Linked DNA regions of Elephas maximus indicus. The protein of the gene in region 4 interacts with the protein of the main gene of each other region in a pairwise test. Links are inferred from orthologs where the notes say so. Each region holds a gene or a part of one and is shown on either strand. Other genes may lie near its edges. The genes, in order: RAB3IP, ZSCAN1, VIM and PPL.

What was found.
Region 1: the proteins of PPL (region 4) and RAB3IP interact in binary tests that used the Homo sapiens proteins (3 or more experiments, as listed by UniProt). The two-hybrid records come from large-scale screens. The link is inferred for Elephas maximus indicus from reciprocal best matches to the Homo sapiens genes PPL and RAB3IP.
Region 2: the proteins of PPL (region 4) and ZSCAN1 interact in binary tests that used the Homo sapiens proteins (3 or more experiments, as listed by UniProt). The two-hybrid records come from large-scale screens. The link is inferred for Elephas maximus indicus from reciprocal best matches to the Homo sapiens genes PPL and ZSCAN1.
Region 3: the proteins of PPL (region 4) and VIM interact in binary tests that used the Homo sapiens proteins (3 or more experiments, as listed by UniProt). The link is inferred for Elephas maximus indicus from reciprocal best matches to the Homo sapiens genes PPL and VIM.

Annotation. Positions count from the first base shown.
Region 1 is NC_064822.1:130,924,312-130,931,715, reverse strand, and holds the start of RAB3IP (rab-3A-interacting protein), read right to left. Parts: upstream 3,187-7,404; 5' UTR 3,093-3,186; intron 1-3,092. UniProt on the Homo sapiens protein: Guanine nucleotide exchange factor (GEF) which may activate RAB8A and RAB8B. Promotes the exchange of GDP to GTP, converting inactive GDP-bound Rab proteins into their active GTP-bound form.
Region 2 is NC_064829.1:87,803,167-87,811,232, reverse strand, and holds the start of ZSCAN1 (zinc finger and SCAN domain-containing protein 1), read left to right. Parts: upstream 1-4,715; coding exon 4,716-5,121; intron 5,122-8,066. UniProt on the Homo sapiens protein: May be involved in transcriptional regulation.
Region 3 is NC_064822.1:39,613,153-39,620,972, reverse strand, and holds the start of VIM (vimentin), read left to right. Parts: upstream 1-4,632; 5' UTR 4,633-4,788; coding exon 4,789-5,351; intron 5,352-5,988; coding exon 5,989-6,049; intron 6,050-7,820. UniProt on the Homo sapiens protein: Vimentins are class-III intermediate filaments found in various non-epithelial cells, especially mesenchymal cells. Vimentin is attached to the nucleus, endoplasmic reticulum, and mitochondria, either laterally or terminally.
Region 4 is NC_064830.1:63,028,608-63,035,765, reverse strand, and holds the start of PPL (periplakin), read left to right. Parts: upstream 1-3,937; 5' UTR 3,938-4,085; coding exon 4,086-4,147; intron 4,148-7,158. UniProt on the Homo sapiens protein: Component of the cornified envelope of keratinocytes. May link the cornified envelope to desmosomes and intermediate filaments. May act as a localization signal in PKB/AKT-mediated signaling.

The DNA.
Region 1 (7,404 bases), on a different chromosome or scaffold from region 4:
CAAGATACTTAACCTCTCAGTGTCTCGATTTTCTCAGCTGAAAATGGAGACAAAGTATTACCTATCTCCTCATTCATAGTGAGAATAAATGAGTTATTATAACGTAAACTAGGCCAGGACCCAGCACTAGATAAGTATTACTCAACAGTGGTAAAAAAAGAAAAAGGAATCCATTGCCTTCTAGTCAATTGCAACTCATAGCAACCCTATAGGACAGAGTAGAACTGCCCCATAGAGTTTCCAAGGAGCACCTGGTGGATATGAACTGCCGACCTTTTGGTTAGCAGCTGCAGCACTTAACCACTACCCCACCAGACTTTCTTCGATACTGGTAGTGGCAGTGATATCACCATCATCAGAAAACTAGGGTATTTTTTAACCAGAAATACAGGTGATAAACACCTTTCATCTATGTGCCTTTTTATACTTACAAAGCTCTTTTACAGAAAGTGTAAACCAGGATGGAAGGAGCAAGAGTGTTGAGTTCCATTTTGGGCAGTCACATCCAAGTTTTAATCCCTGCATTGCCATTCACCACCAAGAACTAAGTAACCATACCCAAAAAAACCAAACCCACTGCCATCGAGTCAATTACAACTCACAGCAATGAGTAGCACTGCCCCACAGAGTTACCAAGGAGTGCCTGGTGGATTAACACTGCTGACCTTTTGGTTAGCAGCCATTAACACTTAATGACTACACCACCAGGGTAACCACAGGCAAGTTATTTCACCTTCCTGAGCCTTAGTTTCCTCATTTGTAAAATGCATTACCACCACCTATATTCCAAGAACGCTGTGAAGACTAAAGGAGTTTAGGTACTTAAAGCAGGAAGCACAGCACCTGGCACACAGTCAAGCTAACATCTGTTCCTCCTTTCTCCCTCCCACCCACCTCCCACATGGAGTGTCTCATTTAATCCTCATCGCATGCACCATTATGAAATTCATATTAGGTTGAACCATATGAAAAATAGTTGAATAACAGCAATGTCGCACAGTGTGACCTAATATTCCCATTTACTAAAAGAGAAATAAGTTCAGAGATGTGCGATGACTTATTCAAGATCATATGTATAGCAAGTGATGGAGCTAAAACTTATAGACAGATTTAATAATTTTTCATTTGGCTGGCTCAATAATTTGTTCAGTGAATCTAACTCAGAAGGGAAAAAAACATACATTAACTACTATAATACATGTAAAACTACTGTAACTTACAATTTTTGGTTCTGCCATATTAAAAAATGAGGGGGTAAAATAGATTTCTAAGAACCTTTCTAATTCAAAAATTATTTGTAGAGTATGTTGGGAATTGAAGGTTTAGGGAAAATTTGAGAAAGAGAATGTTTTAGGAAAAGAAGTATTTGCATAACTACACTAATTCAAAAAGTACAACTGGATCTAATTAAAACACAAAGCAGCTCAACATCAAATATCCATCCTGGTGAAAGTTTAGAGCTATTCAATACCACCGATGAGTTCTTTGCCAAACATACAAGGAAGTGTTTTAATCAATGTACCCACTTTGTCTCACAAAGGTACACACTACCATATAACATTACTGTAATGGAAAAAGAAAAAATTAAAAAGGCTTTTCTTCTAACAGTAAGAAATACACTATTATAGTAAAACTGGATAATCACTAAGTTTTTTCTATAAATTCCACAAGGGCTTCAGAGTTAGATCACATAAACCATTATATTGAGAATACAGTATTTGTCCAAATATTAAAAAAAAAATATTAAAAGCCCTATCAAAATGCGCAATACTAGAAAATATACAAACGTTTCCGGAACACAGCCCCATAAAACTGGTGGAATATTTGACAGTACCAAGTATTGACTACGATTGGTCTCCAAATCGATTCTGCCTCTTTTCTCCTTGATTTGTCATTCACCATTTAAAAAACAAAACCAAAACTGCTGAACAACAAAATGAGGATAATAAACAGAAACTGGGTCTTTCAACAGATTTACAGTAGAACAGTTTGTTTTAATCCTCTTATCGGCCTCTCCTCCAATAGTCATCACTCCATGGCAAAAGATTACATGGCTCTGTACCAACACTGAGAAGGAGTTGGGGGGTAACGGAAGAGCGTGGAACAGGTAGAGTCGGTGGCTGCTACATTTTCACGGAACTAAATCGTCTGCCTCTCAGGAATCAGTTAACTCAGCGCTTTTAACTTTGAAGATCTTACCCTTTAGCCATGAGTTTTCGTTGTCTTTTTTTTGGGAGGGGGTTGGTTGGTTGGTTTTTAATATCATAAAAACGGGCAACTTTTCACGTGCTGCAGACTGCACCTAGCATCACTCTTGCAGCCCACTGAGCTCGGTCTTCCGCGGGCGGTCGGGGCAAACTGTCAACGCTGGAAGGACGGCGTAACTACGTCTGTGCAGCTCCTCTCAACTACCCGAAACAAAAGTCGGGCTGAACTGAGCTGCCTCCAGAGGCGCGACTCCCGGCGCTCGCTCCTTCCGACCAGGCTTCACAGAAGCCTCTCGCAGTGACCTCTCCGCCCCGGCATCGTGCCTCGCTCGTCACCTACTAAGACTCGGGAATGAAAGAGCCCGGGTCCACAGCTCCCGCGTCATTCCGCAGCAGCTCCCGCACGGAATCCCGGGCTGTGATGTGCTCCGACTTGTTCGAAAACTCTCTTCACACCCCCCCACCCCCGCCCATCCCGGTGACCCTGCGTCCACAGCTCCCGGCCGCACTTGTGCGCCGACAGGTAACCAGGCTGCGGGCTCACCGCCTCGGGCGCCGGAACCGCGCAGTTAATAAGTAACCCGCCCGAGCCCGGGGGACGCAAGCGGCGGCTGCGAGGCGCTGGGGGCGGGCCGACGCCGCTCGACGCCCACCAGCGGCCCCAGGGGACGCCCAGCTCCCCACCGCCGCTGGGGTTTCGGACCCAGCTGCCAAGGACGGGGGGCGCGCCGGGCGGCCGGCTGGGCAGCCGGGACCCTGCGCCGCGCCCTCCGCCGCGCCGGCCCCTGCACCTGCCGCCCCTCGCGGGAGGCGCGCGCGGGCGCTGAGGGGGGCGGTGCTCCGACGCCCGCGCCCCAGGCCTCTCCCTCCCGCGACCGCACTCACCTGACGAACCCACGGTGGCCGCTGCCCGCGCTCAGGGACGCTCGCAGAGCCGCAGAGAGCGCACTCCGAGGGAGCAAAAGGCGGAGGAGGACAGCGCACCGAGCCCGCTACTCTCCGCCGCGGCGGGGACGGCGCTGGGAGTCGGCGCGAGAATGCGAGACTGCGCCTGCGCCAGGAGCGAAGCCGGGAGCGGCTTGTCCCCGCGGAGGGAAGGCGGGGCTGGGGGCGGGGTGGGACAGGGCGGGGCGGGCGTGGGGCCGGGGGACCGACGCGCTTCCGCGCCCCCTGGCGCCAGGCGGGGCTTGTCGCAGGTGCAGCCTGTGCCCAGGTGCCTCCGCAGGCGGTTTCTTTGGGAACCGACGCGAATCGGCGCGAAGCAGTGTATCCTACGGCCAGAAAAGTGGCCTCGTGTTAACTTCGGAGGCGTTGGAGTCGACAGGAGTCGGAAAAGGAACCTTAGCTGTGAGTTGAAGACTGCTAGAACCAACCCGAGCCGAGTGGCGCCCATATATCCTTACAGTTTGTGTGGAGGAGGGGGAGGAGGGTTCTCTGATAGAACCCAGATCCCATCATTCCAGCAACTGCTGAAGCATTCGAGAATGTCGTTTCTGTTGTACCTCCCTTCTCTCATCTTTTATGTCACCTGTTTTATCAAACTTCCACACACTTCAGGTCCTCCAGGTAGCAAAAGTGAAAAGACAGAACCTGGCTCCCAAAACAATCAATCACTACATACGTCTCCGTGTTCAGTAAAACAGATACGTGCAATTTACATGATACACTTATTGAACAGGACTATCTTTCTATATATTGGTCACATCTCTTAGAGGCAGCAAAGAAAAGTAGACTGCGTGTATGGCTATTGGAATAAGAATTCCTGGGTTTGAATTCACCGCCTACAAGCTGCATGACCTTGGGCAAGCTAATTTCTATGAGCCCCAATATTGTCATCCTAAAAATAGGGATAAGAATACCTACCTCACTGGGCCGTTGTTAAAATAAATGATTTAAAGCTTAGTACATAACTCATAAGGAGCCCTGGTGGCGCAGTGGTTAAGCACTTGGCTGCTAACCAAAAAGTGGGAATGGTGGTGCTCCTGGGCAGAAAGATGTGGCAGTCTGCTTCCATCAAGATTGCAGCCTTGGAAACCCTTTGGGGCAGTTCTGCTCTGTTCTACAGGGTCTCTGTGAGTGGGAATCTACTCCACGGCAGTGGGTTAGACTATGAGCTTTAAGAGAACAGGCACAAGGCCTTACACGTAGTAGGATGGCTCAATAAATGAGGTATGACTGAATGATGTACATTTAGGGTACACTTTATGGAGGACAGGCCCTGTGATGTGTTTTACATAGGACCTAGATATCCTGAGTCTACAAGAAATTTTAATAACTACATGCCTGTATCCTGTGTTGGTTCCTTTGCAAATCCCCTACCATACACGTGGCTGTTTGGAATGTACTTGGGGGTGTGTCCTCTCACTTACTTGTTATTGTAGTTTGAGAGTGGGAAGAGCAATATGAGTACTTCCTGTAATAACACTTCATTATCCCTGGAGTACAGAGACCAAGAGACATTACAGAATGTAAGGCACTCAGAAGCTCAGCTTTCCCAATGTATAAAGTGTTGTGTAAACATTCTAAGTTAGACTGCCTACCCATATATTAAAGGGACAGCCACTACACACGCTTTGAAAACAAAGTGATAGATTTTGTAGTTGACTATCTTTCCCTTTCATTAAAAAATAAATTATACAATATTAAATACAGCACATAAAATAATATTTTTTAATTATAATATTTTCCCATCTGTACCTGAGGCCAGAAAACATGATATGAATGCAAAGATTTAGAACTTTAAAATTGAACAAATCTTTCTTACCCTTAGTTATAACTTTTTATTGCTTTTGCCTCTGTTTTGTTTTCAAAGTTAAGAAAGTGTATATTTGCATGGTACTTACCAGTTTCAAACTGACTTCACATTAACTACTTCATAGATCCCTTACAAAAAAACAATTTCATGTAGGTGGACAGAATTATTCTTCATGTTTACAGATGGGAACTTAGACCTCCAGAATTAAGGCTTTAGTTTTCAAAATGCTGGGTAATACTTTATAAACAAATGAACTTAAAATCTCTTTAAAAATCAGATTGAACTGCTGTGTCCAGCGGTGTGGCAGACTAGACACTCTGATTCTCCCACCAAAAGCAACTCATGTATAAGGAAACATTTTGAGAATTGGCTTCAGAGCCAGTTTTTCACACACACACACACACACATACACACACACACTTACACAAATTGCCATCCATTTAAACAAATATTTATTTATTGCTTCTCTAAGACAGACATATAAATAATCTGTAGTAAGAGGAAGGAGGAGGAGAGATGAGAAACAATACAACTTCCTGGTTTCCCTACAGTGTTTCAGTCCCAGGTTCTGGCCTATTCCTGAGGTTTAATTACATCCCTGCCTATGATTTTGTGCATCCTCATATCCTTAAATAATTCCCTCTTTTTGCTTAAAATATCTTTTGATGAATTCCTGTTACTGCCTGCTAGAAAATTACCCTAAACAGTACATTTTCATGGAAGAGTTGGCATCTGTAGCAGTTAGGATATATGACCAAAATCTCAAAATAACAGTCATTAAGCATCTAAAGATTGGCAGTTTGAACTCACTAGCGGCTTCACAGGAGAAAGATGTGGCAATCTGCATCTGTAAAGATTATGGCCTTGGAAACCCTGTGGGGTAGTTCTCCTCTATCCTCCAGGGTCACTATGAGTTGGAACCAACAGCAATGGGTTTGGTTTTGGTAAACTAAATGAAGTTTATTCCTCTCATATACGTGTAGGCAATGCAGGATTGGTTTGGTGACAGTATGATCAGCAAGGACATAGGCTGCTACCGTGTGCTTCACCATCCTGAACATGAGCTTCTGTGTTATGGCCCATGATGGCTGCTTATGTTCCAACCATCACATTCTTAATCCATCCCCCTAAAGAAGGCAGAAAGGGACATACTTCTCTATTTAAGGACACTTGCAAAAGTTTTACACATCACTACACTTACTCCCTATTGGTCAGAACTTAGCCGCAAGGAATGTTGAATCATGTAGTTTCTGTTGGGTGACCATGTTTCCAGCCAAAAATCAATGGTTCTAATTCTAAAGAAGAAGGAGGAAACAGATATTGGAAACAACTAACAACCTCTGGTTCAACATCTGAGATCAGGCTTTGGATGAGAGATAAATGGTAATGAATAGAACATACAAATAGAACAAAGACATTGTCAGAAAAACACGTAGTGGTTCAGTGAGTCTGGAAATATAATCTTCAGGTGGACAGCCCTTTTCCCAGGAAGAATATGTCTTGTTTTCATGCACTTACGGATTATTCACAAAAACTGATGATGCATGAAAACGTGCTTCAGACAGGTCTGGGGCATATCATAGGCATATCACAGGCAGGAGGCATGCTCCTTCATTCTCAGTTCTCTTTCACCACAGCTGGCTTTTATTTTCTTTACATATTGATTAGGGTTGAAAACCATTGTGAGATACATGCACTTACTAAACAATATTAAAAAAAAAAAAAATTTTTAATTTAAGATGTACAGCCCATGTGCCAAATGTATGCAGTGGAAGTACTGCTGTAAGTAGCAGTGTCCAGTAGGTGATCTAACTGACCCTAATTAGCCAGAACACTGTTATTGACTGAATTTTGTCCCCCAAATGTATGTGTTGTAAATCCTAACCTATATAAAAAAAAAGAAAAGAAAACCTATATATATGTAGGAGCCCTGGTGTTACAATAGTTAAAAGAGTTTGGCTGCTAACCAAAAAGTCGGCAGTTCAAATCCACCAGCTGCTCTTTGGAAACCCTATGGGGCATTCTTCTCTGGGTCTCTCTGAGTTGGACTTGACGGCAGTAGGTTTGGTTTTTTTTGTTTTGTTTTGTTTAATTTTTATTGTGCTTTAAGTGAAAGTTTACAAGTCAAGTCAATGTCTCACACAAAAACTTACATACACCTTGTAAAAAAAAAAAAAAAAACACCTTGTTACATACTCCCAATTGCTCTCCCCCTAATGAGACAGCCTGCTCCCTCCCTCCACTCTCTCTTTTCCTGTCCATTTTGCCAGCTTCTAACCCCGTCCCATCTCCCCTCCAGGGAGGTTTGGTTTTTTTATATCTGTGGTTATTATCTCATTTGGGAATGCATTTTCTTTGTTATGTTAATGAGACAGGATTAGTGTAGGGTATGTCTTAAAGCAGTCTCTTTTGAGCTACAAAAGAGATTAAACAAGCAAGCAA
Region 2 (8,066 bases), on a different chromosome or scaffold from region 4:
AAACATAGAATTACCATAAAAAAAACCCGTCGCAGTCGAATTGATTCCAACTCCATCATGACCCTGTTTGACAGAGTAGAACTGCTCCATAGGGTTTCCAAGGGTATAACCTTTACAGAAGCAGAGTGCCACATCTCTCTCCTATAGAGTGGTTGATGGGTTCCAACTGGTGACCTTACATTTAGCACCTAAGCTCTTAAGCACTGTATCACCAGGCTCCAGAATTACCATAAAACCAAAAACCAAACCTGTTGCTGTCGAGTCGATTCCAACTCATAGCAGAGACAAGAGTAGAACAAGACAGAGTAGAACTGCCCCATATGGTTTCCAAGGAGCGCCAGGTGGATTTGAACTGTTGACCTTTTGGTAGCAGCTGTAGCTCTTAACTGCTAAGCCACCAGGGTTTCCAGAATTACCATATGGTCCATAAATTCCACTTTTAGGTATACACTGGAGAGAAATTCAAACCTATGGGCTCAAACATAACAGTGATTGAAAGGATGGTGCAGAGCCAGGCAGCGTTTCATTCTGTTGTACACAGGGTCACTATGAATCTGAACCCACTCCACCGCACCTACCAACAGCAACATGTCCCAAATATGCTGTTGGAACATTCTTATACTAAAATATACTATTAGTACTTAACTTAGTATTCAGTATAACCAAAGAAGTAAAGCAGAGGGAGCTAAAGCTGTCATTGGGACTGTGCAGCACAGGAAGTCCCATCCTCCACCCAATTCTTGCTGCGCTCCCAGAAAAGCGTGGACAGTTGCCATGGTGACCAAATCCCAATTCCAGGGTAATGCTAAGAAATCTCTGGAGCGAGACGACCTAATTCAGGCAGCTTTTATTGGTTGGGGCAGCTGTGTTTGTCATGATCCCACCCCCACTAGGGTATCCCGGGGCTCCTGGGTGGGGCGGTGGGCCAGCGCTCCCCAACAGGCCGAAGGCAACAGCCCATGGAGCGCGGGGTTCCGGGAGTCGCAGTCCATCAGGCAGCTACCGGGTGATTGCACATGCCAAGGTGGCGCCGTGACTGAGGGCCCAAGCAGACCCTGCGTGCGCTTTAGTCTGTCCGCAGTCAGTACTTCTGGCAGTCAGTGCGCCTGTTGGCCTGGCAGTCCCAGGGAGGAACCCAGGGGCGGATGACGGGCGTCACGTCGGCAAGGGCGGTCTGGGGCTCACGGTAGAGAACGCGTGTGGAGATGAATAAGGCCCTGGGCCGTGGTCGCTGCCCGAGGCTGGCGGCGCCCGGGTCGGCATCCCGAGGTCCTTCGCGGGACCCTGAGGGGAGAGAGGAGTTCCTGACATGGGACCCTGACGGATGCGGGGAGTCTTAAAGTACAGGGAGTGCTGAGGTCGATGTTGGGAGTGGGCCGAGGGCCATTTGGCAACCCCCCACCGGCTTGAGGTAGAAAGCCCCCGCTGGTCTGTCCGTTCAGATCCCTCTCCAACCGGCCCCAGCAGCCCTTCTCCCACCCGCTCTGCAGCCCCTGGGCCCACTCGCCCATCTCCCACCTCCCCAACTCATTTATCTGTCGCTTCCTTAGTGAGCAAACCCTGCTCAATCCTTTTCTCCCACAAACCTCCACTCCCCCGTTCTTCCCCCACACTCATTTATTTATTCAACGACTATCTCTTGATCATCTATTAGGTGGTTTGGCTGTCAGTTACCAAGCCCTCACGGGTCCCCCTTTCCTTCATAGAACTTGAGGTCTCTGCCACAGACCCTAGTGCCTACTCCAGGTAGACCAGCCCTTCCACCTAGCTTTGAGCCCTTTACATGACATTCAACCAAAAAACCAAACCAAACTAATTACTGTTGAGTCGATTCTGACTTATAACAACCCTATAGGACAAAGTAGAGCTACCCCATAAAGTTTCCAAGGAATGCCTGGTGGATTCCAACGGCTGACCATTTGGTTAGCAGCCATAGCACTTAACCACTACCCACCAAGGTTCCAAACCCAGGTACCCCCCAAAGTGGATCTCCTGTATCCCTGGACCACCGCAACAAATACTACGTGTGCCCCAGAACCTATTCTATATAGACCTCAGACCCACTCCACATCGGTCCAGGACCAAACACATTGGCCTGGGACCCCCACATCAACCTAGGATTCCCCACATCAGCCCAGCACCACTTATATCAGCCTAGGACCCCTCACATTGGCCCAGAACCTCCACATGGGCCCAGAACTCCCCGTATCAGCCTAGGAAAAAAAGAAAAAAAACACTGTAATGGAGTCGATTCCAACTCATAGTGACCCTATGAACAGAGTAGAACTCTTCCATAAGGTTTCTAAAGCTGTAAATCTTTACAGTTGGAGTGGCTGGTGAGTTTGTACTGCCAACCTTTTGGTTAGCAGCCAAGCACTTTAGCCACTGCACCATCAAACCAAAACCAAACCTGTTTCATGGAGTCGATTCTGACTCATAGTGACCCTATAGGACAGAGTAGAACTGCTATATCAGCCCAGGACCTCCCAAAAGGACTTCAGCTACCACATGGACCCTAGGAGCTGTCCCAGGCCTCCCAAAGAAGTGCTGAGGGGCTACAGCTCCAGAGAACATTTCCCTGAGCACCAGACAGGGAATGTAAGCTCTGGGACCCCAGAGCAGAGGGGACTGCTCCAACCTATGAAACTACAAAACATGCTTTTTTTTCTTTTTCCAAAAATACATATAAATGAAAGTGTAAAGCACAAGAGAGTATTTTTGCTTGTAATCCCCAATGTGCAGGTGGGGGAAAGCAGACTCACAGGCTACAGAACACACCCCCCTCATGAGTCGGCCTTTCTGCCTGAAACAACTCTCCTTTCTTTCGGATTATAAAACCCATACCTGGTAACTGTAGAAAACATGAGCCAAAGCATCAGGAAGGAAAACTCACGTGGAATCCTCCACTCTTCACCTGTTATAAGCATTTTCCCATATTGTTAAAAGTCCTTCCTAAAAATTTTCTGGTTTTTTTTTTTTTTTTCTGTTGATAAAGGTTACACGGGGTCATTATACAATTTGGGGGAGATTGACAGAAGTATGAAGAGCACCAGGCACTTGGCTTGCAACCCTGGGGCTTCTTTTCTGGCACCCCTTTGCAGAACTCTCATATATTGTCCCGCACCCTGCTTCCTCCCCTGCACCTCACCACTGCCTTGAGTGTGTTAATGGGATTAACACTATTTTGAACAGTTGGATAATACTCCATGACATAATAGGAAGTAATTGACCCCACCAGGTTTGACTGTTAGGTACTTTCGTAGTAAATTAGGACCTTTCATAGTAAATTTTGGTGCCTAAATCTTTGTCTGCATTTTGGCTAAATTTCTCAGCGTCCAGAAGGTTTTTTGTATACAAGCTGCTCCAGTGCTTCTAAGGAGCCCTAGTGGTGCAACGGTTAAGCACTCAGCTACAAACCAAAAGGCTGGCGGTTTGAACCCATACATTGGCTCTGCAGGAAAAACCCTACAGGGCAGTTCTGCTCTGTCACATGGGGTCACTATGAGTCAACAACCAGCTCGACGGCACCTAACAATACCCAGTGCTTCTGTGCCAGCTTATATTCTCACCAGTGAATGACCCCACCCTGTCAGCACAGGATATAAGCATGTAGTAAAATCCCTGCTCATTTTATGTTTATAACTTGTCGTATTTCGTTCGGTTGTGATATATTCACCATAGGAAGCTTGGAAAATATACAAAAGGTTATTTTTCCTTGCCCTTCTAGCTTTCCCTCTGCTTTTAAAGTCTCTTTCCTCCAGCCCCTCCTTGCCCTCCTTGCTGCTCCCATCATCAGCCCCAACTTGGCACATGAGGCAAGGAAGACAGCAGCAATAATACCCCAGGGGCAGGGGGCAGGAGGCCTCTATTGCATTGCCCCTTACATGGCACGAGTGGCTATTTTCAAATTAAGTAAAATTGAAAATCCAGCTCCTCATTCAAGTGCTCGGATGGGGCAGTGCAGATGGAGCACATTGTTACCTATACAGAAAGTTCCATGGGTAAGCGTTGCTACTCCACATGTCACGGCATAGCCCTTGGGTAATATCAGGTTAAAAACCACAATCGCAATTCTTTGAGAACAATGTCCATATTGTCCCCCCTTTAAAAAAGCCAAACTCGTTGCTGTCGAGTCAATTCCAACTCATAGCAACCCTACAGGACGGAGTAGAACTTCTCCCTAGGGTTTCCAAGGAGCAGCTGGTGGATTCAAACTGCCATCCTTTTGCTTAGCCAACAAACATTTCACTGCTGTGCCACCAGGGCTCCATATTGTCCCCAGCTCCTCATAAATGTTTGTTCAATGATGAACTGAGGAGGAGGAGATACTAAACGAGTAATGAAATAAAATGTGTTCAGAAGAGATGGGCGCACTATGAGGGTGGAGGGACAAGGATGACAATCAAGCGGCCACGTAGAGGAAGCTCTTCCTGCAGTGGTGACATCTGAGCTGGAATGAAAAGCAAGTGCAAAGGCCATGCGGTGGCCACTGGCTTGTCCATGGCCAGGTTAGATGGGAGTGATGCGGACAGGGCCTGGCTCAGTCCCTGGGGGCCTTGGCGGGGGGGGCAAAAACGTAGGGTACTGAGAGGTTCTAGAGCAAGGTTACCCACCTTGTGATGTGGTCTCTCTGCACTGGCACCTCTCTGCAGGCTCCTGACTGCTGCCTGTGCTTGTTCAGAGCCATCGAGGCCACATGCCCTGTGGTCAGAGAGATGCTTCCACTGGCGAGAGGCTTTGCCTCTTGCAGGAGCACCCAGACCCCAGCACCAAGTGAGAAGGATGGGGCAGTGCGGCCTGCCAGCCCCGGGGATGCAGAAGCCTGGCGCTTATGCTTCCGGCAGTTCAAGTATTGCACGGTGACTGGGCTGCAGCAGGCACTGAGGCAGCTCTGGACACTCTGCCACCTGTGGCTGTGGCCCGATACTTGCTCCAAGGAGCAGATCCTGGAACTGCTGGTGCTGGAGCAGTTCCTGAGCTCGCTGACCTGCAAGATGAGGTCCTGGGTGCAGTCACAGGGCCCCCAAACCTGCAGGGAGGCCACCAGCCTGGTGGAAGACCTCATGCAGATGTTCCAGCAGGAATGTAAGAAGCCACAGGCTCGGTGGTCCCCAGGGACTGGCTGACCCCCAAAGGCAAGTGGCTCCAGGAGGAAGTAGGAGCTGGGGTTTGGGTTCATACCAGATGAGAGCCCCGCGTCTTTCCTGCAGGTGGCCCTTGGGTAGTATTGCCATCTGTCTTAGTTCTCTAGTGCTGCTATAACAGAAATACCAAAAGTGGGTGGCTTTAACAAACAGAAATTTGTTTTCTTACAGTTTAGGAGGCTAGAAGTCTGAATTCAGGATGCCGGCTCTAGGGGAAGGTTTTTTCTCTCTGTCGGCTCAGAGGGAAGTTCCTTGTCTCTTCTCAGTATCTGTAGGCCCAGCGTTCCTCAGCTCCTTCGTAATCTTCATGTGGCATGGCATCTATCTTCCCCCATCTCTCCTTGCTTGGTTGAGCTTAATCTACTCTTTTTATATCTCAAAAGAGATTGACTTAAAACGTACCCTACACTAGTACCGTCTCATTAACATAACAAAGAAAACCCATTCCCAAATGGGATTATAACCATAAGTATAGGGGTTAGGGTATATAACACATTTTGGGGGGACACAATTCAATCCTAACCACCATATTAACAATATTAAGTTAGGCCAAATGGGGGTCCCTGGTAGTTCATCTGCGTGGTAACATCAATACTTCATTCTTTTTTATGGCTATAATAATAATATAATAATATAGCATAACATATTATGTTAATTATAATCATAATCAACTATTAGCTGAAAGGTTGGCAGCTCGAACCCACTCAGAGGTGCCTCAGAAAGGTCACAGCCTTGAAGACCCTGTGGAGCACCATTCTACTCTGCACCCAAGGGGTGGCTGTGAGTCAGAATCAACTTGACAGCGATGAGTTTGGTTTGGTTTAGTTGTTTGGTTCAAAGTGGACTTCCAAGAAAAGTTTTGGTTTGAGGTTTAAAGTTTAAATATTATTTCAGGGCAATATTTTAAGGGTTCATGCAGCCTCAATGGCTCCAGAAATTCTGGATTCCATTGAGAATTCACCAAAATTTAGTAGCTTCTTTATTCATTAAACACTTCTCTGACTGTGTAAGTTTTTCATTAGAAGAAGTTACTTCTGACCATTTTGTCATTGCTTTAGTAGAGGCATCGGAACGTTGGAGTTCCCTATTGTGCTATTTTTGGTGACATCACTACATCAGATTATTTCTGTTTGCTTTTTTTTTTTTAATAATAGTCTTATTGAAATATAATTCACATGCTATAAAATTCAAGTCAGTAGTTTTTAGTATATCCACAGTTATGCAACCATAACCACACCACAGCCTAATTCCAGAACATTTTCACCATCCCCAAAAGAAACCCCAACTTCATACCCATTAGCAGACACTCCCCATTCCTCCCTTCGCCCAGCCCCTGACAACCACTAATCTACTGTCTGTCTCTACGGATTTACCAAACCTGGGCATTTCACGTCAATGGAATCCACGAAATGTGGCATGCATGAGTAGAACTGCTGCTTAGGGTTTTCAAAACTATGACCTTTCAGAAGCGGATTGCCAGGCCTGTCTTCTGAGGTGCCTCTGGCTGTGTCAAAACCACCATACTTTAGGCTAGTAGTTGAGTGCTTAACTGCTTACACCACCCAAGGATTCCTTTGAAAACATTATGTTCAATGAAAGAAGCCAGACTCAAAAGGCCACATTTTGTGAGTTGGAATAGACTCGATGGCAACTAACAACAGCAGCAACGTTTTCAAGGTTCATCTATGTAGCAGCATGCATCAATACTTCATTCATCTTATGGCTATAATAATAATATAACATATTAATATATTATGTTAATTATGTACAAAAATGGCATAACAGGGGCATCACCTGACCTCCTCCATTTTTACAAGGGGGACGGAGAATCAAGATCAACAGCCCAAGGCTGATTCCTACTCTGTAGAGGTCAGACATGCTTCCTCTCCCCATCGTCTTTCCCAATTCTGACACTCAGCATCCCTCCCAGGGCATTGTCTATTTCTCTGCTGAGTTCGATAATTTGTTGCAGTGGCCACACAGATCTCAGACCATACTCACATTTACGGGGCTTATTAGGGAAGGAACAGGTAACAGTTCAGGTTCAGGAATGCTCAGGATACAGATCTTCCATCAGGACAACCTCTTCTCACCTGTGCTTGCAAGCACGCCTCTCTGTGGCCCCTCGGCCTCTGCCCTGCACAGGCAAGTGTTAAAAAGCACTTTTAGCTCTGCTGATAAATACTCCAAGACACCCCACTCTGCCAGTCAGCCTTGGCAAGAAGCAGTGGCAGAGAAACAACAGCAGCAGAACCAGGAGACTGGCAGGAGATGGTGTGGTGGGCTTCCCAGCTGACTGAGTGAGAAAGATGAGTGCCTTCAGGCTCCGGAGGCTTGCTGGAGGAGTAGGGTGCCTCTGGGCACTTGGTGGAGGCTAACTTCCTCCTCCCAATCATTTTACCAGTCCAAAACAGTCACTAACAATTAGCCCTTCAATAGGACAAAGAGCCCTCAGGGTGAGGTTACTTAGTACCAGTCATTCCGGCCTGCTGCACATGTCCACCTGATTTAGTCAGGTTCGCCAAAAGTCATCTCGGCTTCATTCTTCCTGGTATCCGATAAAATTTAACTGAGAGATTATTCCCTTGGTCTGAGCCTCCTAAGGTATCAGGATAGCAAAGCCTTTAAGGGATTTTAAGTTTGGCCACTGTACTACAGTCCCGCATGTGCCTTAGTCCACTCTTTCACAGTTACAACATCTATAATTACAGATTTTACAATCACAATTAACCCTGTTAACAGTCATATTCACAGCTCAATCATATAATCCTACCAGCATCTTCCCCTACCCTCTCTTCCGGAGATCTACCAGGAAAAGAGGAAACAAAAGTGGGGATCCTCCCTTGTCCCTCTCATTTTGAATGTAAGCACACACATGAAAGCATGTCAGCCAGCTACTTCATGTCTTTATCTTCCTCCGTT
Region 3 (7,820 bases), on a different chromosome or scaffold from region 4:
CACTGGTGAGGGAAGTGATACCCTGGAGGAGGGGGAGCCAATTGCATTACTGCAGGGATGAAATATGGAATGGCTTGGATGTGAGTGACAGCAGCATAACAGTGGATACAGGAAGCAATGGGACATGTATCATATCATGATACTCTTTGGATCTGACCAATATAGTATAAGGAAGTGGCAAGATGATGAAAGTTTCTAATCTTGGTGGTTTGCTGAGTTGCCCTTAATAGATAGGGAAGTTGGGAGGGGAAGCTGCTCTGGTTGGTGGGTTTTAGGGTGTGAGATGAGCTCAGTTAAATTTTGGATCTAATACTTCTGAACAGGTAGAAAGGAATCTAGGTGAAAATGTTTAAGTCACAGATGAAAGTCCAGATTTCGAGCTCAGGTGAAAATGAAACCCCCTTCTTATCCAACCATTATGGATCATTGCTACATCATCTGCATGACACAAAACATTATATTCTGAGTGTCTGCCAAACTCTGCTAAGAATCTTCTCTTACCCAGAAAAATCTGTATTAATCATTCTGGAACACAGTAGCCCCCTAATTAGTATTTGTGAATTGAATTGGTTGAGAGTAAGGAAAATTTAGTCATTAAGGACAGGAGAAAATACAGGCATTTAGAGTCAGAAAGGCCTCAGTTCAAATGTTTGTTCCCTTTCTCCCCTTTCTTGCCCCCTTACTAATTACACGACCATAAGTTATTAACCTGAGTCTTAGACTTACCTGTAAAATGGATGACCAAATCTATCTTGCAGGATGCTGAGAGAGCATTAAACTAAATATATATGTACAAAGTGACAGTCATTCAGTAGGCACAAAAATTAAAGCAGCTATTATATTATTTGGAGCTCTGGTGATGTAGTGGTTAGGAGCTCAGGCTGCTGACCAAAGGTCAGCAGTTTGATTCCTTGGAAGCCCTGTGGAACAATTCTACTCTGTCCTATAGGGTCGCTATGAGTTGGAATCCACTCAGTGGCAATAGGTTTTTTGGTTTATTATAATACTTATTATCTTTATCACCATGCCTTTTAGGTTTTGCCAAATTTTTCACCATGTCATTTCATCCACCGTCTCGCTTCTATCATTTCATCAGACAATCCTGCTAGAAGTTGTCCTCGTGGCCTGGCGGCCTGTGAGCCAGATTCCCTAAAGCTTCCACAGGACACTAAGCTCCTCTTCGCATGGCTGGCTGGTCAGTCAGTGCAGATCACCCAATTCAGCTGACATCACCACAGCTTGCAAATCCCCAAATCACTGTTAGTACTTTAGACTTAGACTGGGTAATGTTTACGCCTGGCTTACACAGTGTACCACTGGGGCCTCATTTATACACAACTTGTATCATGCAATGTATAAAGCAGCTTCATAGCCCAGCCTTTAAAAATACTTCTGAGGTAGGTTTTCATAGCCATCAAAAAATAAATATGAAAACTGAGAAAACTATGCTTACATACTGTTTACTTCCAAAAGGTAACTAAAAACAGAGGTAGAATATAGGAGGATTAGTTACCATACGTGAGGATGTTAGTTCAGATATGTATTTCCCTCATTGATGACTATCACTCATTGTTTTAGGCACTGTGCTAGGCACAGTATATTTCGTCTAAGAATGAATTTAATTCTTTCCAAAGTTTCACGTATACTACATGAATGAGTAAAAAAGTTTTTGCAACCTTCACCTCTCTATAGTTCATCTGCAAATGATGAAAAATTTCTAATAAGATGGAAAATATGTATATAATATATATTTGTTGTTGTTAGCTGCTGTCCAGTCAGCCCCCGATTCATTGTGACTCATGCCAATGTGATCAGACCATTGTGATCCCCAGGGTTTTCACTGGCTGAGTTTTTCAGAAGTAGATCACCAGGCTTTTTTTCCAAGTCTGTCTTAGTCTGGAAGCACCACCGAAACCTGTTCAGCGTCACAGCAACATTCAAAACCTCCAGTGGCAGGTAGGTGGTGGTCGTGCATGAGTTACATTGGCCAGGAAATGAACCCATGTCTCCTACAGGAAAGGTGAGTATTTAATCACTGAACCACAACTGGTCCTCATAATAATATACACATACGTATATACACACACATAATATACATACACACACACACATATGGCAAGTGAGCACACCAGCTGTGGCAAGAGAGTAGCCTAGCACAGCCCTGAGAATACAGAATGGGGACAGCAGTGGAAGGAGAAGGGACACCCCTCAGATTACCAGGAACACCAGGGCCCATCCCAGAGGCAGTCACCACAGCCCTGAGGAACGAGTTGTGGGCACAGACAGGGCACACTGCCACACCACACGAGAGCTTTGCCCTCATTTTCTGTAGTGAGTCAGTCAGCAAGCATCCCTTGACAGCGCCAGCCACCACATTGCCCCGGGATCAGCATTTTATGTAGGAGTAAGGCCCACCCTTTCTCCCCCCTCCACCATAGAGAGATTGCTTTTCTCATCCTAAGGGTTCCAGGCAACCTCACAATGGCGACATTTGCTGAGCAGAGGCTTGAATAAAGGGCTCTCAGAGAGCAAGATGGGAACGTGAAGCACAGGCTCCTCTGCCAGGCATGGAGTCCCAGGAATGCTCTTTGGGAGTGACCCCAGCCTCCCAGCGAATGAGGGAATAAAAGAAAGCCACAGTAGGAGTGCTGTGCAGGAAAGGGTCCTCGGCTGGACTTTGGCACTGCCATTTGCCAGAGCTAACTGAAATGAGGTAAACAAAATATTGCCTAGAAGAAGCATAGAATAAACCCCTTCATTTGGCTCCAAACCGTTCTTCTTAAATGCCAGGTAACCTTCAGTATTCCCCTCCCCCCACACACACACAAAGAGAGAAAACTTTCCTTTTTTCCCCTACCTATAGCAATATAACCAAGGTGTTTCTATTTTTACAGTGGTTCTGAAATTAATCTTTTCAGTACTCCCTAAGTATCATAAGTACTCAAGAAAATGTCGATTTTTTAAATTGCTACTTAATCACAAGAAGACTGGTTCCCCTTTCCTCCCTTCATCTCCTTTGGGTGGTAACTATTCTGTGTTTCACTAATATTGAAACAATAGCCCCTTGAGTTGAGTTATTTACCTAGAAAGCTTAAGGTGATGGAATCTCTCCATGTCATGGACCACAGCTTTATCTCTCTCACTCCAAGACCAAAGGCACAAATCCTCTTCTTGACAACAGACCACAAGAATTGGTGACATTTCTCAGACAAGTCCTCAGAATTCTGCACTGCGCAGCTCTGTCCTAAAATTAACACATAAATCTATTTTCCTCAAACATTCTGTCATTTGAGTTACATAACTGCCTTTCATTTGATCTCATTAATCAAATTGGGGGTTTAAAGCAACACCTAATTACTTCTGTAATTGGCTCAGATTATACCGTTAATGACTTCTACTACAGCAGAAAAAAGCAGTGATCTCTCAATTTGATTCTGAAACTATGTACGCCGAATTTCCTCTTTTACCCAGAACCTGCAGATCATTTTAAAAGTCGGGTGTGGTTTCATAGGGGGAGGGGGAAGAGTGAGAGGAGGCTGGAGTGAAGGGTGGGAGGGAACTTTTTAAGTAAAGCTATCACCAACTGCCCGGAGACCCGCAGTTGGCGACTCTCCAAGGTCTGCGGAAAGTTCCTTCTAAAAAGTGCGCACATTGGAACAAAATCACGATTTGGCGACTTCTTAAAAATAAAGGGTGCTCTTGGCTCCCCCACGGCTGGACCGTACACATCAAAGCGACCGCCGAGCTCTAAGTGGGGTAAGATTTAGAACAAAACACTGAGCGTGGGGCCCGCGGAGACTTAAGTCAACCTCGTCTAACGGTTTCCCTCGAACTGCTAGGCCCCCTAAACCTCTACCGGCCAGCAGGGCGCAGTGAGTCACCCTCAGTGACTCACAGACCCCGCCCCTCTTCCCTGGGCTTGTCTCGGCCACCGCCTCAGCCCCGGCCGTCCGAAGCCGGACGGAGTCCGTTAAGTCCCTGCACAGTACCCTCAAGACAAGACGAAGAAAAAAGACGAGGGTCCTAATTGTCCCCCCTTTCGAAGCGGGCAGCGCGCGAGGCTCCACAGGCCCAAGTCCTGCGTTCTCCGCTGCGCGCGACCCCACCCCACGCTCCAATTTCAGGCGCTCTTTGTTTCTTTCTCGCCGCCTCTGGATATGCTCGATCCTTTACTCCCCCTCTTCCTGCTCCTTTAGCCGAGGGTCTCTCCCCCCACCGGCTCCCAGTCTGCGCAGCCCTGTGTCCCAGCGCCCACCGCGCACCCCTCCCACCAGTGCGCCTCCTCCCACGTTCCTTTGGCGTGGTCCCCAGGACCCTTCTTATCCAGCCCGGGGCGCCTTCCCCAACCACCGCGCGACCCCCGCCTTTTTCGGCACCCAGGGGTGAGCAGACCTCCGGCAATTACGAGGAAAGCCCCCAAAGTCCTAGCCAAACTTAGCAAGTAACGGGACCGTGCCCAGTCCGGTGCTGCCAGGAGCCGGGAGGAGAAAGGCTTGAGGGCGCCCCCGCCCCAAACCCCCGCCCACTCCCCCCTCTTCTCGCCAGGTCCCCATTGGCTGGCGCGCTTCGCGGCTTGGATGGCAGTGGGAGGGGACCCTCTTTCCTAGCCGGGTTATAAAAACAGCGCCCTTGGCAGGGTCCCGTCCTCTGCCACTCTCGCTCCCGGGTCCCCGCGCCAGAGACGCAGGAGTGCTCCCACCGCACACCCACCGCGCCCTTGCTCGCCTCTCCTCCCGGAGCCAGTCCGCACAGCTGCAGCCGCCCAGCCCACCGCCACCCTCCGCAGCCATGTCCACCAGGTCCGTGTCCTCATCCTCCTACCGCCGGATGTTCGGCGGCCCCGGCACCGCAAGCCGGCCCAGCTCCAACCGGAGCTTCGTGACCACGTCCACCCGCACCTACAGCCTGGGCAGCGCGCTGCGGCCCAGCACCAGTCGCAGCCTCTATACCTCGTCCCCGGGCGGCGTGTTCGCCACGCGCTCCTCGGCTGTGCGCCTGCGGAGCAGCGTGCCCGGCGTGCGACTGCTGCAGGACTCGGTGGACTTCTCGCTGGCCGACGCCATCAACACTGAGTTCAAGAACACCCGTACCAACGAGAAGGTGGAGCTGCAGGAGCTCAATGACCGATTCGCCAACTACATCGACAAGGTGCGTTTCCTGGAGCAGCAGAACAAGATCCTGCTAGCCGAGCTCGAGCAGCTCAAAGGCCAGGGTAAGTCGCGCCTGGGAGACCTGTACGAGGAGGAGATGCGGGAGCTGCGTCGGCAGGTGGATCAGCTCACCAACGACAAGGCCCGCGTGGAGGTGGAGCGCGACAACCTGGCCGAGGACATCACGCGTCTCCGGGAGAAGTAAGGAGGAGCCCGGGCCACTTACGGGGGTTGGGGGGCGACGTCCGGGCAGGGCCGCGGGAAGAAGGGGGAGGGGAACGACGCCCTCCGAGGGGCTGCCACGCCCTTGGGGCGGTGGCGGCACGGGATTCCTAAACTCAGACCTTGCAGCTAGCATTTCCCCTTTGCACGCACTCATTGCCCAAGAACGCTCCGTTTCAGGCAACGGATTTCATAAAACTAAAAAAAAAAAAAAAAACCCACTTTGAAATTAAAGGCACTTGATAAAGATGAGAGTGGTTCGTCCAAACTTTTAAGAAAGTTTCCTGGCCCCTCCTGGCGGGCTGCCAGTAATGGGGCCGGAAGGAGGGAGGAGAGGATAGCTGTGGAGAACGCGAGACAAAGGATGGCCGTCTCCTCTGGGGCGGGAGTGGTGGCGTTTGCTTTGCAGGTCCTAGTGGCGACTGTGATTGCTTTTTCATGCTGCGGCCGAGGTCCCGCTAAAACTTGCCGAGGGCTGCAGTTCTACAAGGGCTGCAGTCGCTGGCTGCCGGCAGAGGCGGCTGTTGTCTCGTGGCGCAGCGACGTGGTGGTTGGGTGCGGCCGCCCTCCCCTGGCGGTTTCCCAGTTCCCCTTGGTTAATATGCAACTGTTTCAGGTTGCAGGAGGAGATGCTGCAGAGAGAGGAAGCCGAGAGCACCCTGCAATCTTTCAGACAGGTTTGTAGACTTCCTTCCCCTTCGTCGGCAGCGGAACCACCCAACCAACCCACTGGCGATTCTAAAAGTTACTTAGAACTTAAGTCCAAAGAGTGCAGAAGTTCACGTCTGTGCATACAGCCCCCTAGTGGTAGAAAGACCACAAATTGGAGCTTTTCCAGCTAAAAACCTTTGAGGGCTTTACCCTTTCTTTAGGACATAAATAAAGTCTTTAACTTTTTACTTTGTTTCAAGATTTTTTTCAAGGAAATAAAGACATTTCTTTCTTTCTTTTTTTTTTTTTTTTTGGGAACGCACTGACATTGTGATTTTGAACAGTTACAGTTTGATTTAGATTGTGGCTTGCTAAAGTTGGCCAACTTTTACAAGGCCACAAAAAGCGCAATTTATGCCCTGTAGTTTAAAAAGTAAAAGGTGTCGGAAGATGAGAAACTTAGTTTGACTGGCATGAAGCCAACAAGTTTCCTTTCTTTGCCAGTTCTATTGTGGCGGTAAAGTTAGGTGGAAGTATCGCTATGCACAACTATTTTGTGATCTAATAAGGGTGAAAAGGAGCCATCTGTCCTCTTGGCTGAAGGCTATTAATGGTTTCTATGGGATTCACTATGGAATGTAGATACAGACATTCTGCAAATGTGGTGGCTTTGGACGGAAATAATAGGAGTCTTTGTGTTCCCAGAGAAGCTTTGCAACAGGCTACATTCTTATTGAATATGTAATGATGTAAGCGCAGTTCTAATTGGACACAAGTATTTGCTAACATCGTGATCTCCGTTATCTAATACCTGGCCCAGCTTGTGAAGTATGTGATGTGAAAAGTTTTTAAAGCTACAGTCATACATCAGATTTTGAAAGGCCGTTATTGGCTTCTTATATTCTTTAGCACTGCCCACAAAAATAAAGAAGAAACCTAAGGCTGATGAATACAATTTTAAGTAAAGGATTTTTTTTTTCTCCAATGTTATAGTGGAAGGAATTTTAGCTTAAAATTAAAACCAAGACGATTTCCCAGCACAGTTTATTCTCCTGAACACTTACTGGAATTGGCTGTACAAGCACTCTAAGATGAATAGCCTAGGATGATATTTTGAAACTGAAATACATTTGCCAAATTAATTTCAGTGCACAGCAATGTGTGGTATTCATTGTAGTCATTGAGCATTTATGACCATACCTGTAATGTCTGCAGAGTACTGAGTTAATATAAAGTAATATTAATATAAAAGTTCCCCTCTTTAGGGAATAAGTAAAATTTCTCACATTCTCTTCAGTGGAGTGTCACATAGAGCATTTTGTAGAGGTTAGTAAAATATCGTTTATATCTGTTTTCGAGATTAACAGCAAGCTAAAATGAAATTGTTTCCAAGTTGGATCTTTTTGCTGTCACCCATTCTTCATTCACTTTTCCATGAAAGTGATACAAGTGTCTCAGTATTTTAAGACAATAAGGCTATAAGTTGTATTCCAAATATAACTGCCTACAAGTTAAGGTATATAAAATCCTCATGGAATCCCTTGGGAGAAATAAAATCTTAGTTTCAAGAGTGTGCACTTTGATTTAGAATGTAGCGGTTTGCAAACATTGGAGACCGAGGAGAGCAAGATCAGCAAGAATTCTTCACATGGTTTCATTATATACAAGTGTTTTCACCAGTCATTCTGAAAAAAGCTGAGTAACTGACTTGACCGGGGCGAGTAAAGAGGATGGGCACACCGTTATAGGATGAGTCAAGGGAGTTTCAGGACAAAAAATCCACCAGAGAAAGCAAAG
Region 4 (7,158 bases):
CACACCCACAGCACCCATCAGCTCTGAGCGGGCTTCCAGAGCACAGAGGGGGCAGGGGTGGTGGAGAACAACTCACATTCCTCCTGCAATGCTAGTTCTCCCCATCTCTCAGCTGCCCGAAGCCTGTGAGGTGGAGGGTGGAGGCACGCGGGGGTCCAAGACCTGGGATGCTGCAGCAGGCTGACACGGGGGCTAGCCCAGCTTGCCACTGCACTCCACAGAGCCTTGGTTCCCTTCTCTGGGAAAGAACACAAGAGACTGACCACCTCCCAGGCGGGCAGCTGGTCTGTTTCACCCCATGTGGGGCACTGCGGAAAATCTGTACCCCTGGGCAGGTTGGCACAGGCCATGTCGCCTGGCCAGAGTCAGCCCTCCATAAACGACGTGACTATTATCAGTGTCGTTCCTGTTATTCAGCAGCTGAACTACGGGCCCACTAACCTGGAGATCTGTGGTCTGGATCCCTCCCCAAAACTGACCTTCACCTTCCTAGGAGGTATGGGGAAAGGAGGTTTGGAAGTTTCAACAAGTCTAGGGTTTGGACACTGTTTGGAGCTCCAGCAAACTGCTTGTACCCTTCAGTCCCACAAGCTTGTAGTCTTCAGCTACAGATCTAACTCCCTCCCATTGGTCTGAGCCCTAGCTAACTGCCAGGGGCCATGCTGAGTGCTTAACACACAGGATGGTATCCTATGAGGTCAAGGCTACAATTGCACCCATTCCACAGACGGGGAAAACTGAGGGTAGAAGAGGCAAAATGCCTTGCTTACCTTCACACAGCTGACCAGCACTGGGTTTTTCTACCCAAGCATTTGAACCCTGATGAGGTTCCCTTCTTCCCTGACTCTTATGCTGGTCGGCTTTATAGTTGTATCTTTGCCTCTGCCCCTGGACTATCAGTAACTTGACTCAGGCGACACTGGGTTTCTGGTAAGAGTTACGGAAAAATTCGGAAACAGATAATGATGATGGTTGTACAACATGATGAACACAAGTAATGTCACTGAGTTGTACATGTAAAGAATGTTGAAATGGCAAACGTTTTGTTACATACATATTTACTTCAATAAAAAGTGAAAAAAGCAATTCATTAAAAAAATCATATACATGATTATAAATAAAATGCAAACACCATAAAAGAGTACACAGTGAAAATTCACATTTCTCTCTTATCCCTTCTGAGGGGAATCGCAGCTAACAGTTTCTTGTGGATCCTTTCCAGAAGTTTTTTCTATGCGTGTACAAGAATAAGGCACACACACATATACTCCTTTCTCTCTCTCTCTCTAACACAAATGGGAGCCCCTTATGCACTCTTTGGCACTTTGTTCTTGCACTCGACTATATATATACGTGTCTGGTGAGCGTTCCACATTAGGCTATCATTCTTCTTCAGCTGCAGGGTCCTCCCAGTGTGGAAGCATCCTGGATTATGTAATCAACCTCCTCTCTACACTATCAGATTGTTTCCAGGGCTTCCTCCTTAGCTATAATGTGACAGCGAACATCCCTGAAGGTACACTTAGTACCTTTGTGAATTTAGCACCCAGTGGGAACCCATCTGTAGGGAAGTTACTCCCAGGGAGAAGTAAGAAAACGGTTTCCAGGCAGCGTGACAGCATGGGCAAATGCAAGGGGACCAGCAAGATTCCCTCTGAGCCCGTCCCTGTGGCCCATCTGGGGTGCAGGAGAAGGGGTCCATGTGGGTGAACAAGCTCTGTGATGAGTTTGACTTCTGCGGGTCCCGGTGGGCTGACCACCCCCTCCACCCATGTTTGGAAATACCTGCTCCCAATGTCAGTTGGCTAAAGGGAGCATCCCCTAGGTGCCCTCCAGCCCTTGTCTGAACCTCCACCTCAGGAAGGGAAGTTACTTCAAGCGGAAGGAATTGCTCAAGACTTTACCTGCCCTAACAAACTTCCAGCTTAGAAGGGAGCCAGGCAAAGCCAAGTTCAGAAGGGAGTGACTAGAGAGAGGTTTGGTGGGAAGCTCGCATCAAGGTCCCTGCCTGAGTGGCAAGTGGGCTGCAAACAGAGACCCTCACTCCCAGTTTCTCAGAGCGAGGCTGCAGACTACCAAAGAAACCCATGAAAAGTTCAGATTCCCTGGGTGGCACTGAGTTTCTGTAAAAGGTGATGGGAAAATTTGGAAAGATAGCACAATATTATGAAAGTAATTGATGTCACTGAATAGTACATGCAAAAAAACAAAAAGTTCAGATTCCTGGGCCCCTCCCCAGACTGCCTCTATCAGCACCCAAAGGAGCCAGGACCCTGGAATCTGCATTTTGCATATTCCCTGGGGATTCTGATGCACAACAGCTCAGAACCGCTGCCTAGTTGGGGTCCTTTCTCCTTGTTCGGTTCCCATGTTTCTGAAAAGTATATTAACTATTTGAGTGTTTTTTTTTTTTATCATGAGTCCCCCCAAGACTGAAAGCCCCTTGAGAGAAAGACCCCTTTTTCTGTTTTGTGGTTTTCTTTTCTCATGTAGCAGAGCCATGCACAGAGGGTGGGAGGGCATTCACAACTATCCCTTAAGAAGCCAATGTATGAATCCAGTGAAGTGATAGACCCTTCCCCAGAAAAAAGCACACATGGACGGACATGCACATTATGCAAGCAACTTTAGGGGAAATGCAGACCCCCTCAAGTCCACCCACCGATGTCCCTTCAGTGGCAGGGGCAATAGAGGGACTGAAGAGCATCCAGTGTCTTTAGATGCTCTGCAGTCTGGGGCAGGGAGGAACCTTGGAAGTCAAATTCCCCATCGACATCCTTAATTTACAAATAAATACATGAGGGGAGGGACTGAGGACTCACACTAGTCCTGGGCTGAGGCCCACCCCCTCCCCCAGGCCCCAGTGGGCCTCCATACTCCCCATCTGACCAACAGCACAGCACTTTGGCCATAATTTATCCTGCAGACTTCTGGAGTATCCCCCTGGAGACTGTGTGCTTGAACCTCCCAGTGTCCTCCAGAATGGTGCGGAATCCTCCCAGCTGTTAGGGCCCCACTCGGGCTCCCTGCCAGGCTCGGTTTACTGTCTGCCCAACTGCAGCCTTCTTCACTGACCTACAGTCTAACCTGGGCACACGCTGGCGTGGTCTAGCCTAGGCACACACTGGTGCATGGCCTCACCCAGGCACACACTGGTTAGGTCCAGCCTGGACACACAATGGCAGAATTGTGCAATATGCCCATTCTGAACCAGAATCAAGCAGCTTTTAAGACCAGGCATGAAGTACTTCTGTCATGCCAGGACCTAGAGTTATTAAAGTTTCAAAGGACTTTTTGTCTGCCCTAGATGGCATGATGAGAAGCAAAGCAAAGCTCCCTGCACTTGGCTTCGGGCCAGGCACCGTGTCTGGGATTATCTGCAGGAATCCCCTCACAACACTTTGGGAAGGGGCCGTCTGTTACCACTGTTTGCCAAATAAGGAAACTGAGGCAGCCGAGGGAAGATACCGGCGAAGCGGTGGCCAGTTGTGGCGGCAGGATTTGATGTGGCGGCAAACCTCAGAGCCGCTCGTTTTCAGTAGCCTCTCCCTCCACTGCGCCCATTAGAGTGTAGTTCTCTAGTTATAAGGGCTGGGGAGCCCCCTGAGTGTCCAAGTCAAGCGCGGGGGCGGGAGGGGGGAGGAACAAGCCAGGCGAGGGCTCTCAGCCGGGGCGCGCGCCAGGCCTGTGGGTGCTCGGGGAAGCCGGTCTGTACCACCCTCTGGAGCCCCGGACTCGGGTGGGGGTCTGGCCAAGACCCAGCGCCCCTCTCCGCAGGCCCCAGCCCCACTCGCTGGGCCTGGATGGAGGCTGGGCGCCTGCCTCGCGGGGAAGCCCCGCCCACCGCGGCTTCTCCTCGGGGAAGGTAAGCACCACCTTCGCGGGGAGCGGCCGGAGCGCGAGTGGCCGGCGGGCGCCCCGCCCCCTCCGAGTAGAGCTGGCGCCGCCGCGCGCTCGCTCGCTCGCTCGTTCGTTCGTTCGTTCGTTCGTTCGTTCGGTCCGCAGCGCCCTCACCTGCGCCCGCAGTGTCGGTGCGTGCCGGGCCGCCAGCCCTCCCAGCCTTCCCGCCTCCACTGCCTGCCACGATGAACTCGCTCTTCAGGAAGAGAAACAAAGGCAAATACAGCCCCACCGTGCACACCAGGAGGTGAGGAGGCGCTCGCTGCGCCCCGGGGCCCTCGGAGCCCTCCAGCCGCGGCGCGAAGTGAGGGCGCTCTGGGCCGCAAGCCCCGCCCGGGCGCGGGGCAACGGCGGCGCCCTGGGGGCATCTGGGGCGTGGGGAGCACGCCCCGGAGGCCTGCAGGGTGAGACACCAGGGAACACGGGCCCGGGAGCGTCCTGGAGCTGTGGTGGGGATGGGGGTGGGCTGGGGCGCCGAGGGGGCCCGATAGGTGGCCCTAGGGAGTTCTAGAATCCTCGGAGCACGATCTTGGGGCCTAGAGGGCGGGGAACTGAGCTGGGCACAGGAACACCCGGGTCCTGGGGTCGCCCTTGAGCCCGGCGTCGCCCTTGCGCCCGGCGTCTCCCTGGGCCCTGAAGCACCGCCGGGATACGGGTGGGGGTCCGATGACGCTACACCAAGGCCGGGGCGCCGGAAGCACCGTGTAGGGGACGCACAGGGACAGGGAGATTGAGCAGGGGCGTGGGGGGCGCGCCCAGCGCTTCTTGGAGAGCGCACAGGTGCTCCTAGCGTCGGGGAGGCTAGGCGGGGGCGGCGCAGTGGGGGAGCCACCTGCCGCAGCACTTTCCCGCACCTGCCACTCTGCACTCAGAGCCGCGCCCAGAGGAACCGGGTGGGTGTGGGTCGGGTGGGAGGCACAGGCTGAGGGACACCCTCCAGCCTCCCGGGGGTCGGGGGTCTGCGCTGCTGCAGGGGGGCGCCGGAGTCCTCCTCGCCTCACTCTTTCTCAGAGGGTGTGTCCTTCTTTCCGTCCCTCGAGCCAACCCTGAAACTTGCAGCGTCTCTGAGCCGCGGGTTCCCAGGCAGCATGGGAAGGGAATAACAGGTCTTGATGTGTTTGCGTTGAGTCGGCGGCCCACATCTGTTTTGACAAGCGTTAATATATTCACTTAATAACCGGTTTGGGGGAGCCTCCTGGAGATGCTGAGATTGAGGGAGGGGGTGCGACTCTGGCCCTGCCTTTCTCCCCTTCGCCCAGGGAAAATGGGCTGGGGGCTCCTGGCTGTGAGGAAACACTTTCCCAGCTTCTCTAAACTAGGGGGAAGGTAGGTGGGAGATTCAAGGGCACAGCCCACCTGACTGGGAATACCACTGCAAAGTACCCTCACTGTGTGGCCCCTACTGCACCCCTGAGCAGTCCCTCAACCCCTCCCCAACCCCCATGTGAAGGCCACAAGAGGGCTCTGGGCCCTGGGCTGGCACCTGCCCCTGTGGTTCAGCCCCGAGGACCTGTCTGACAGGTGCAGGTGGGCCTGGGCACTTTGATTCCCTAGATTTCCAGCCCTTTCACAAACCCCACTGCCCTGGCCTTCCCACCACCCAGTCTGTTTGGGCTGTTTCAAGTTCAGAGGCAGTTCTTCCCCACCCCTTCGATGTTCCCCTTCAGAGCCACCCCTCATATGATCTTTCACAACCCCAGAGACTGGGTGGGGTCCTTCCCACTGTTCCTCTGTGGCCAGGTCCAGCTGGCACTCAAACTGGGCCTGGGGTCTGGTCCAGTCCCCGTGCTGTTGATGGGCATTGCACAATCAGATACGCTGTGCCAGCCACGAATGGCTGTTCTGTCCCCCCCCACCCCCCGCCACCACAAGACTCAGGCTCCTCCAGTCCTTCACACATGCACACACCCACACTCATGCACATGTGGGGAGCTGTATCAGGCAGGGCCTACCCTCTGCCTCCCACCTCCCAGCTCTCCATTCGTCCCCCGAGGCCTGAGTTTGGATGCCTGAACTTGGACACAACAAAAAGTTATAATGAACCCAGAGAAGCTGGGAGGGGCTCTGGCTTTCCCGGGAAAGGGTAGAAAGGAGGGCGTCCTGTCCTTTACAGCTGCAGGGACATGGGGTCCTGCCCTTGTCCCTCCCCTCCTTTACTCCTGGCTGGAGGAAGCCGCCTCTTGCCTTGGCTGACATCCGTTGGTTGGTCCCCAGATCTCAGCTTAGGTTTTTTTCTCCAGGAAGCCTGCCCTGATGACTCTGCCCAGGCTAGGGTGAGACCCTTCCCATGGGCTCCGCTGGGTTCTCTGTTACCCCTGTCCCAGCACTGAGAATGAGAGCGGTCCTAGCCCTGAGTAGGTTCTTGGTCCTTCCCTGTATGGTCTCGCCAGCCCTGGGCATCCCTCTGCTCCTTCTTCTTGGTGGGAGTCGAGTACTCGGACCAGATTGTAGGGTGGGACAACACTTTGTCCCCCTCTCCCAACAAGAATCTCTTAATCGGTACATACTTGGTTCCAAGTGCCAAGTGCCACATGAGGGGCTTGTAGCTCTAAGATGTGGTCCCTGGTTAGGGTGAGCTGACCCCCAAGGTTTATTTTTTAAATTATCTTAAAAAATGTTTGTAGTGTGGTAAAATATACATAAACTAAAATTTACCATTTTAAACCATTTTTAAATTGTACAGAAACTTGGTACCCATTTAAAAATAACTCCCCACTTCCTGCGCCCCCCAGCCCATGGCAACCACTAATCTGTTTTCTGAGTATAAATTTGCCTGTCCTGGACATTTCATATAAGTATATTAGTATAGTCATATAATATTTGTCGTTTTGCGTCTGGCTCATTTGACTTAGCGTAATGTTTCCCATGCTCTCCCATGTTGCCAATGTATCAGAACCCCATTGTTTTTTATGGCCGAAGAATATTCCATTGTATAGATAGACCACGTTTTGTTCATCCACTTAGTATTTGATGGACATTTGGGTTGTTTCCACCTTTTGGCTATAGAGAATAGTGCTGCTATGAACACTGGCATACAAGTGTCTGAGTCTCCAGGTTATTCTTTCACCCTGACTTTTCTAGGGGTCTCCTCCCTGGTCTGGGTGAGGGTGGGGCTGCTGCCGAGATTCGGCAGGGCATGGTATGTAGGAGCTCCAGCCCTGGGAGCAGAATGCCTCTGACCCCAGCTTTGCTACATCTGCTTGTGGAGAAGTCATGGGATCTCTCTGAACCCCAGTTTCCCCACCTGCAAAGTGGGGC